2 linked regions of the Canis lupus familiaris genome follow. The protein of the gene in region 2 interacts with the protein of the main gene of each other region in a pairwise test. Links are inferred from orthologs where the notes say so. Each region holds a gene or a part of one and is shown on either strand. Other genes may lie near its edges.

The links. The genes of interacting proteins can lie anywhere in the genome.
Region 1: the proteins of PEX5 (region 2) and ACOT8 interact in binary tests that used the Homo sapiens proteins (3 or more experiments, as listed by UniProt). The link is inferred for Canis lupus familiaris from reciprocal best matches to the Homo sapiens genes PEX5 and ACOT8.

What each region holds. Positions count from the first base shown.
Region 1 is NC_049245.1:33,783,127-33,787,954, forward strand, and holds the start of ACOT8 (acyl-coenzyme A thioesterase 8), read right to left. Parts: upstream 3,009-4,828; 5' UTR 2,902-3,008; coding exon 2,783-2,901; intron 1,497-2,782; coding exon 1,360-1,496; intron 1-1,359. Other genes in the region: ZSWIM3 (zinc finger SWIM domain-containing protein 3), read left to right, coding at 3,412-3,566. UniProt on the Homo sapiens protein: Catalyzes the hydrolysis of acyl-CoAs into free fatty acids and coenzyme A (CoASH), regulating their respective intracellular levels. Displays no strong substrate specificity with respect to the carboxylic acid moiety of Acyl-CoAs.
Region 2 is NC_049248.1:8,232,126-8,236,792, forward strand, and holds the start of PEX5 (peroxisomal biogenesis factor 5), read left to right. Parts: upstream 1-1,755; 5' UTR 1,756-1,823; intron 1,824-2,090; exon of another isoform or gene 2,091-2,113; intron 2,114-2,160; exon of another isoform or gene 2,161-2,304; intron 2,305-2,464; 5' UTR 2,465-2,480; coding exon 2,481-2,627; intron 2,628-2,961; coding exon 2,962-2,997; intron 2,998-3,280; coding exon 3,281-3,413; intron 3,414-3,634; coding exon 3,635-3,766; intron 3,767-4,667.

The DNA.
Region 1 (4,828 bases), on a different chromosome or scaffold from region 2:
CTGGTGCTCTCTTCTCCAAGCCAAGCTGCCTACTGCTGAACTCCTAGCACAGGTGACAGCATCTCTCGGAGGATCCAGTACAGTGCTTGGCACCAAAAGGTGTGTGAAGAATGAACAAAAAACCTGCAGGGAGTAGTTAAGCAACAGAATCTTCTGTCATTCCATGCCAGATAACAAGTCATGTGGAAAACAAAAGCAAAAGAAAAAATTAATTTCCTTACTACTTAAACCCATTGACAAGTCCTTGAAACAGGTAGAGTGATCTCTAGAGACTCAGCTGCCTCCAGGTGAGTACTTTGCTAAGGGCAAGAGGCAATCTTAGTTTAACATTACCCTGACCCTGTAGGATCCTGGAAGTCTTCTTTAGACACGTAGAAATTCCTTTGGAAACTTCCTTTATCTCTACCATATTGGCATGCTGCATGTTGGCAATCACCCAAGCATATGGCCCACCAATACACATCTGAAGGGTCTCATGACTCAGGCTTTTTAAGACAGGAATAAATGACCTTTTCCTAACAATAACTAGCCCCCTCAAGGTCCTGGAAACCTGACTTCTAAAATACCTTGGAAACTTGTGCTGTCCCTAACCCCCATCCAACTTGAAAGTATATAGTCATTTGTCACAATCCCAGTACAGCCTTTTCTGCCCAGAAGTCCTGTTCTCGTGCTCTAGTAAGACCACCTTCTTAGGGAAGCCTGGGTGGCTCAGTTAGTTAAGCATCCGACTCTTGATTTTGGCTCAGATCATGATCTCAGGATGCTCAGCAGGAAGTCTGCTTGAGATTCTCCCTCTCCCTCCTGCTCTCCTCCCCCCACTCTTTCTTTCTAAAAATAAATAAATCTTTAAAAACAAACAGACAGGGACACCTGGGTGGCTCAGTGGTTGAGCATCTGCCTTTGGCTCAGGTTGTGATCCCGGGGTCCTGGGATCTAGTCCCACATCAGATTCCCCGCAAGGGGCCTGCTTCTCCCTCTGCCTATGTCTCTGCCTCTCTCTCTCTCTGTGTGTCTCATGAATGAATAAATAAAATCTTTTTTAAGAAACAATAAAAATAAAAACAAACAAAATCATCTTTTTACACCAAACACATCTCAAGAATTCTTTCTTGATCATTTGCTCTGCCGCCAACATTTCCTCAACAAGCACTCAGTGATCTCATCCGTGTGAAGTCCAACACTCCTCTGGGCCCCAGACCTTGCTCCTCTCTAGGTTCCCCTGAGGGGAATCAACTGTCTCACTCTCCCCTCCCCCACCGCCCTTCCTCCCTCTTCCAGCCCATCAGCCCCCCAAGTCCAGGAACAAGTGGCTGCTGGGCCCTCAGGGTTGGGTTTGGGTATAAAGAGGGGATAGTTTACCTGTCCGTACAAAGTAACAGTGCAGAGAGTGCACATGGACGTCTTCACTCACAGACTTGGCTGCAGCCACCAGGGCCTGGCCCACAATCTGACCCCCAAACAGCCGCTGGGTTGTGGGTACCCAGTAATGTCTTCCTCTGTGGAGAGAGGGGAAAGCAGGAAATACTTGGGCCAAATCCTGCAACCATCCTATAGGGCAAGACCTCTCAACCTTATTGACGTCTGGGATCCTTCTGAAATCTGGTGAAAGCCATGGACCCTTCTCCCAGGCAAATACCCTTACTCTGCATACAGCATACATGTAACTTTAGTGCCTTCAAGACTGCCCAACCCTTCTGTGGGCTTCAGTTAAAGATAAGGAACCAGCTCTCTTCTTTTACCCAAAGAGAACAGGGATCAGAGAGGGAAAGTGACTTGAGTGAGGTCAGTCAACTTAAACATTGCCAGTCCTGAGCAGTGTCTGCGTCTTCTGCCCCCAAGTCCAGTGTTTCTTTCACTGCCGATTCCAGGATAAAGCAGAAGCCTCTCAAGGCCATAAGGGGACCAAGATGATCCCCAAGAGCTGCGGGCAGACTGCGTTCAGGCCTGCCACTTGGGCCTCTCAACTTTAGCCCAGTTCTTCCAAGAACTACAAAGGGTCCTAGAACTCAAAGGGTCCTCAGGCTTTAAGGGTAACCCTCTCGCGCACAGATGAGGAAATGAGGCCCTGGAACTCCAGCTTCCTACCACTGAGGCCAGCTCAGCTCCAACCTAGGTTAGCATTTAAAAAAAAAATATAATGCCTTCCAAGTAGCCCCTCCTAGTCATTTGCAATTCATTAAGTAGGGGGAAGTGAAACTCTAACATTTAAGATTGCCTCTGAAAAGCCAGTAGGAACCCTGACGGCCAAAACTATTAAATCCCTAGCTGCAGAAAAGCATTTAAGTGGTATCTGGAAGGAAACTGGCTCAGATCTCAGGGCAATGAGGTACTAGATCCAAGTGGTGGAAGGTGCGAGGTACGTAAAAGGAAAGAACAGTGAATATGCAAGAAGCTGCTTCTAAATTTTCAACCGGATCAGCTGCGTGCATTTAAGTGACCACCCTTTCTGGGCTGGCCCCTAGGGACAGGACTCCTCCAGAGAGCCTGCTGTGAAGGCTAGCTCAAGCCACCACTTCGTCTGCCCGGATGGCTAGGGCCTCCTAGTGGCGGGGCTGAGCAGACCTGGCGCGCACCGGAGGAAGCTAGGGCAGCGAGACCAGCCAGGTCTGTCAGGGACCAGTTCTCTCCCAGGCGCGGCAGAGCCTGCATCCTGCACAGAGCCCATCCCCGTCCGGGGGGCTATGAGCAGGAGGCAACGCGGTGGCGGCATCGAGGTCGGAAGTCTCTGTCCCAATGTGGGGGGTGGCGGGGGGAGGGGTGCGAGCCAGATGCAGCCGGCTACCTGAACAGATCCACGTCTAGCGGCTCGAGGTTGAGCACGCTGGTAACCAGGACGCTGCGGAGGTCCCCGGAGGGATCGCCGCCGCCCTGCTCATCCTCGGGAGCCTGCCGGGACGCCATGGGGTTCACGCGCGGCCAGCCAGAACACCGCGCTGAGCGGACACGAGGACACCCGCACTGAACGCCGACCTTCTTCCGGCAGCTTGCTCCAGTAACAGGAAATCGCCTCAAGGCCCCCCCGCCCAAGAAAGAGGGGTCCAAGTTATGATTGGTCGGCCCTCCTGTCAGTCTTCGCGAGAGGCGGGCTAGCTTTCTCTAGCGATTGGAGAAAATGAGTGCCAGTCTGGGAATACCGTGTGTGATTGGATGTAACTGTGAGGGGGCGGAACCCAGGGCTGAATAATAAGAGCTGAGCGTCATTTCCCCTCTGTGAGAAAGCAAAGACGCCCCCAGACCCCTAAGCCCTCTCGGCCCTTAGGGCTCCTCCTGAGCCCCGTAACAGGCCACTCAGCTGAGGCCGACCCTTAAGGCATCCTGGACATGCGCCAGCCTGTAGGCCCTCACAGTGTGACCTCTGAACCCTAGTGTTGATCCGGGGGCCAGCCCCTGGTGTGGGCTGAGGGGGCGGCCATGGAGCTGGGCAGCTGCTTCAAGACCTACGAGGATTTCAAGGAGTGCTTCAGCGCCTACAAAAAGGAGAACAGGTGCTCCTTCATTCTCAGGGACTGCGTCTCCGTCCGCTTCCACAACCTCAACCATGGCACCTGCATCCGCGAGGACATCCTGTAAGGGCGGGGCAGGTCTGGGGCGGGGCAGGAGGGTGGGGAGGAGGCCGGACTGTCCCCTGGAGGGAGGCCTTGGAGGAGGAGGAGGAGGGAGCGCAGCTGGGCCCCGGTCTCAGGGCAATCAACAGGCACCGAGCACTTGTCCTGTGCCTGGTGGAAAGAGCAAAACATTCCCAAGGCATCGCTTTTTGACCACCCACTCCCCCTTCATTCATTCACTCCATTATAGCTTTCCTGAAATAACTGCAATTTGCCCCATTCTTTGAGCACCTGCAGTATCCCTCGTACAAAGTACCGTCTTCACAAATGGATACAAAACGCCTCTGGGATGATTTCCTCCATCAGTGTTCTCTTGACAAAGCAATGAACGCGGTCAGTTGTTGGTTAGTTTGCTCATTCATTCGTTTGTTTTCTACGTGGTTCTCGAGCTTCTGAGATTAACAACCGTTTTTTCAAACACTTCCCATGCCCCAGGCATCCTTCGCTGTTGTGTGCATGCTTTACCAGGCAGGGCTGTATTGAGAATTATAGTTAAATGCTGTTTTTCCCTTTTGGCAGCTGAGAAAACAGGCGGAGAGGGTTGACAACTCCATTGTCTTCAGGGCTTGGGTGAAACAGCCCAGCGTCAGAAAGTTTTAATTTCACCCTAAGAGAAAGAATGATGAAATAACAACGGACTCCAGGTCTTTGTAGCAGAGACCACAGAGGTGTGTGGTGACATGGAGAGCAGGCCCTATCTAATCAACTCCAGCTAATGGCCACCAGGTGGAAATGAAGATCCGGTGTTGCCAGAAATGGGAGCAGGACAAGTCAGAAATCCAAATTTGGGGCAATATCTCCACTTTTTAAAAATTGCAAATCAGTTTAGATTTGAACACACTCTGAGGAGGCCAACTCAAGGAACAGTACAAGCTCCCTGTCTAAATTATTGTTAGGCAGTTAAGGGAGAGGAGAAAAGCTCTTCTTGAGTCTGTTGGACCTTGACAGTTTTCAGCTCAGAATAATCCACATGCCAAAGTGGCAAATTCTGGGGCAGCCTGTCCTGAACCCCATCAGTGGTTAAAAGGGAGAGCTCTGGAGCCAGAAAGACAGGCTTTACACTGGAAGTTGGGGAACACTTCATTTCTGTGACCGTTTCATCCTCTGTAAAATGAGATGGATGCGGTGAAGAGTAAACAGAAATGCGTATAGGAGCAGAAACGTGGTGCTCTGTAAGTACTCCGAAACTGTAATGAGGACATGTTAGAAAATGGTACTGGGAC
Region 2 (4,667 bases):
CTAGCTGTGTGATTTTGGGTAAGACTCATCTGCAAAGTGGGGCTCGTAATACCTATTTCATAGGGGGTATTATGAAGATTAAAAGCACTAGAGCCCATAAAATATTTAGTGTAATGCCTGGGTTTTAGTAAGCATTAGATAAACATCAGTTATAATCATTATTATCATCTCCTAGGAGGCAGGCACTTCATGAGTTATTGATAATCAGTTACTAAACTCCTAGCAGAGCAGGTGGCTATGTGTGTGGTATGGTTTGAATGGTACTGGGAAGTCCTTTCTGGTTGCCTGGACTTTCTAAAATTCTACTATATCATATGCTTTCAGTTAGACATTGCCCTCTTCAGGGATCCTTTATGCTTTACAGAGAGCATCCCTTCCTCTCTGGCATGGTTTAGTTTATTAGGTACTAGGTACCAGGTATTTTCTTTACAGTGGCAGTCTGAGAACAGTCAACATGCAAGGGCTGGGATTTATGTTCTCCAGGGTACACGGGCAGTGGGGGGGCGGGGTTCTGAAAGATGGTGAAAAGGTAAGAAGAGGAGAAATTCTGCACAATTTTCAGGTCTGGCCTGTCATTCTGTTCTCCTGCGGTGTCAGAGCAGCTTCTTTACTTTCCCTGGGAGGAGTTTACAGAACCAAGCTCCTCTGATCCCCTGGGGCCTCCACCTTAGAAATGTGCCGGACAATAGGAAACAAGCCTGGCCCAGGGCGCCACCTGCTGTCTGTCTTCCCTCCTGCACCCTGGGCTGGGAGAGCGCTTCTGTCTTGGTACTAACCCATCCTTGCTCAATTACCAGCAGCCCTGAGCACCTTCTGCCCTTCTTGGTGGCACCAGGTCTCCCTTGGTCTGGGAGTCAGGTAAGGTATCAGGGTTTACGCCCTTGAAGTCTGACATCAGAGCCAATGGCTGTGGCAGATGGTGGGGCCTGAGGCTTATTCTGTGATTAAAAATCATTTCTTGCACCATGTCTGTGCTTTCCCAGTCTGGAGCAGTGGGAATATGACCACCATAATGACCCTGACCAGTGGGGAGAGAGGAAGGAGAGGAGACTAGTGATTCACTGTGCACCTTCCCTGTATGTTACCAGCTTGAGAGGACTCAGGATGCGTCGTCGTATCCTATTTTAGTCTCCGGAATTTGTCATCATCCAGCGCTATATTCCCCACCACGCAGAAGCGGCAGAGGGATTGGGGGCAGGCCTCTGTCTCCAAGGAGACTGTGACGATGTCCCGCTTGGGGCAGTTTGGAAGTGGACATCACTAGGAGGCTGAGGAAGGCCTTGGATTTGACCCCTGCAACACCTGTGTTAGGGCCTTCCTCTTACCTGCTTCAGGGCTTAGGAAGACTAGCCGCCAGCCCCTTTATAGGAGGGGAAACTGAGGCCCAGAAAGGGCAGGGAATCCCCTTGGGTCACAATGTGCCGCCGAGTAAGAGTCAGCTGAATCCAGGATCACGGTCCCGCGGATCTCCCCCCAAAGCTCAGGCAGCCCCTCCTAGCTCCATCCTTCTTTGAGCTTCCCAGCAAACCAGTCCCAGTGCGGGCGAGCCTTTGTAGCGCTCTCGGGGTCGCCGCTCCAAGACTTCGCCTTTAAGGCGCTCTTCCCCTTTAAGGTTCACGGCTCCAACCGTCACGCGGCGCCGCAGCCTTGAGGCCCCGCCCCTACAAACAGCTTCCCGCAGGGCAGCGTAGGCTGCGCGGCCGCCACGGCCCCTTTAAGCCCGAGCCCCGCCCCTGGCTCCCCGCCCCTCCCTCCCCTCCCCTCCCCCCTCAGCCCGCACCAGGTGCCCCGGCGGGTCGTGCGGCGCGGCGCGGCGCGCGACGGTGAGCGCCGGGTCCCGAGGGGGCGCGAGGACGCGTTCCGGGTCTTCCTCCGGCCCGGCCTGGTCCTCGCGGGGCCCGGGGGCGGAGCTGGAGCTGCGTCTGGGGCGGGGGAAATGGGTGGTCCGGAGCGCAGGAGGGGTGGGCCGCGACCCGCCGAATGGGGGAGGGGCTCAGGTGACTTGTGGTGGGGAAGGAATGGCTCCCCGCGGAGCTCGCCGGCGGCGGGCCTGGGGGCCGTGGGCTTGCGCGCTGGCGGCCTTACCACTCTTCTTCGCGCGCGCAGTGCCCCGGTACGGCCCGACTGTGGGATCCTGCTCCTCAGCCCCCTGGGGTCCAGGCCCCCGTGTGGGGGGCGGCTGCCGACCGGCCCGGCCGCCGGAGACCGCAGTCGTGGAGGCCGCCCGAGAGGCCCGGGCTGAAAGCCGAGGCCTTTGAGGGGGCGGCAGCAGGGCACCGGCCCCGTCTCGGATCCCTGGCTGAGGTGGGGGCCGTAGCAAAAGGCACAGCGGTGGAGGGTGGCGAGTGGCTCACAACCTGGGACCGACGTCTGCCCGCCTCCCCCGGCCTGATACGGGCTGAGTTGTGGGTTGGAGGAGGACCTGGCAGCGGGACCTCAGTTCCAAACCTTCTCTGCCCATCAGTGAGCTGGCGGTCACCATGGCAATGCGGGAGCTGGTGGAGGCCGAATGCGGGGGTGCCAACCCGCTGATGAAGCTGGCCGGGCATTTCACCCAGGACAAGGCCCTCCGGCAGGAGGGGTTGAGGCCTGGCCCTTGGCCCCCAGGAGCCCCGGCCTCTGAGGCGGTGAGTGTTCCCGAGGTGGAAAACTCAGGTCGTGGCTCCGGATGGAGGGGCCCCATGGACAGACAGTTTGGGATAACTGCCTTCTCTGCTGGGTCGCAAATAGGAGTAGCTATCACGACTAGTGAGTGTTCACTCAACACGGTGCTAAGCATTGTGCATCTTTATACAGATCAAGGCAGTCATTTTACAGGTGAAGAAGCGGGGGCTCAGGGAAGTTCTGTGACTTGCCCAAGGTCACTCTAGACGCTAGAGGCATTTTAACCTCTGCCGAGCGGGGTTGTGTGTGTGGACTTCATCACTGTACCCTATTGCCTCCCTTTCTTTTCTGTCTTAGGTCTCTAAGCCTTTGGGAGTAGCGTCTGAAGATGAGGTAAACGTGCCAGTCTGTTCAGTGCCCTTTTTCTTTTGCCCATCGTGTTTTTACTTTAAACCTGGCTCACCTATATTTCACCCTTTGGGCCTTCTTGACCAAGTGAGATTTGCCTTATTTCTTCTGCTTGTTTTTTTTTTTTTTTTTTTTTTTTTTTATGTATTATTTGAGTATTTCCAATTTGTAGTTTCTGGGTTTCTCTTTCCTTGTGTTTGACGTTATAGTCCCTCATTCACCGGGCCCTGTCTCTTGCTGAGTTCTTTTATCATCTTTCTTCTGGCAGTTGGTGGCCGAATTTCTCCAGGACCAGAATGCACCACTTGTATCCCGTGCCCCTCAGACCTTCAAGATGGATGACCTCCTGGCAGAGATGCAGGAGATTGAACAGTCAAACTTCCGCCAGGCACCCCAGAGAGGTGGGTCCAGAGTCTGGTGGGGGGGGATCACCATTTTCCATGCAAGTAAGACTGAGGGGGTTCCATATCTGGATGCTTCTGGCATTGAGGAACTGAGCTGCAGAAGGAGACAAAAGGGGCACAGTGTTTTCATGTGCACTCAGGATTCCTGAGGCATGATGCATAGAATGATATGCATTTCTTTTTTTTCTTTTTTCTTAGTTCTCTTTCTTTCTCTTAAGCTCCTGGTGTGGCTGACTTGGCCTTGTCTGAGAACTGGGCCCAGGAGTTTCTTGCTGCTGGAGATGCTGTGGATGTAACTCAGGATTATAATGAGACTGACTGGTCCCAAGAATTCATATCTGAAGTAACAGGTAAGGATGGTCATGGGTAAACCTAAAAGTGGTTCATAGTGGGGCAGAGTTCTGTTCTGTTCCCCCAGTTCATCTTAGGATATAGACTGACTTCAGCTTCTATGACTTTCCTGGACTCTTGATTCATTTCTCTAGGGCACTGAGCCTGATCTCCCTTAGGTGATAATAGGGAGTTATTGAAACTTACATGAAATGGGACTGAATTGGAACTCAGTAAGAGATTTTGGAGAGTATATGTATCTCTTTGTGTCTCTCTATGTAAAGAGAGAATAGGAGAGAGAACCCTTTGTTATCTGGAACTTTATTACTGTAGTTTGGTGGTGAAGACCCACAGATTGGATGGATGGCAGTATTGCCCAGGAAGAAATACTAAGCACAGCCCGTGGGATTCTGGCATTAAGTCATCTTAAACAGAGTTGAGGCCTTGGAAAGTGGAATTGTGTTCAAGGGCCTGACATATAAGGTTTTAGAGGGCAAAGACCATATCCTGATGACAGTAATAAATATAACAATAGCTAATATGTACTTATCATATTCTAGGCTTTGTATTAATTGGTTTCAATGTATTATCTGTTCGATCTTCATCAGAACTCTTGAGGTAGTTACTGTTTTTATTCCTAGCATATAAATAAGAAAAGAGGCTTTGAGATGAAGTGATTTGCCCAAGGTGATACAGTTTTGTAAGAGGTGGAGTTGGGACTTGACTCTGGCTTTGAATGATTCCAGACCCTGTGGGCTGAACCATGGTGCTCTTCTGCCAGGCCTGCACCCTAAGTTTTTCAGGGTCCCAGCCTAGTTCTCCATCTTTGAGAGTGTCCATGCTCGTTATATCCCTTGGGGTTGATTCTTCTGCCTCAAGCCTGTCTGATTAAAGGCATGGGGAAGGGCATTCTTTTTAGCT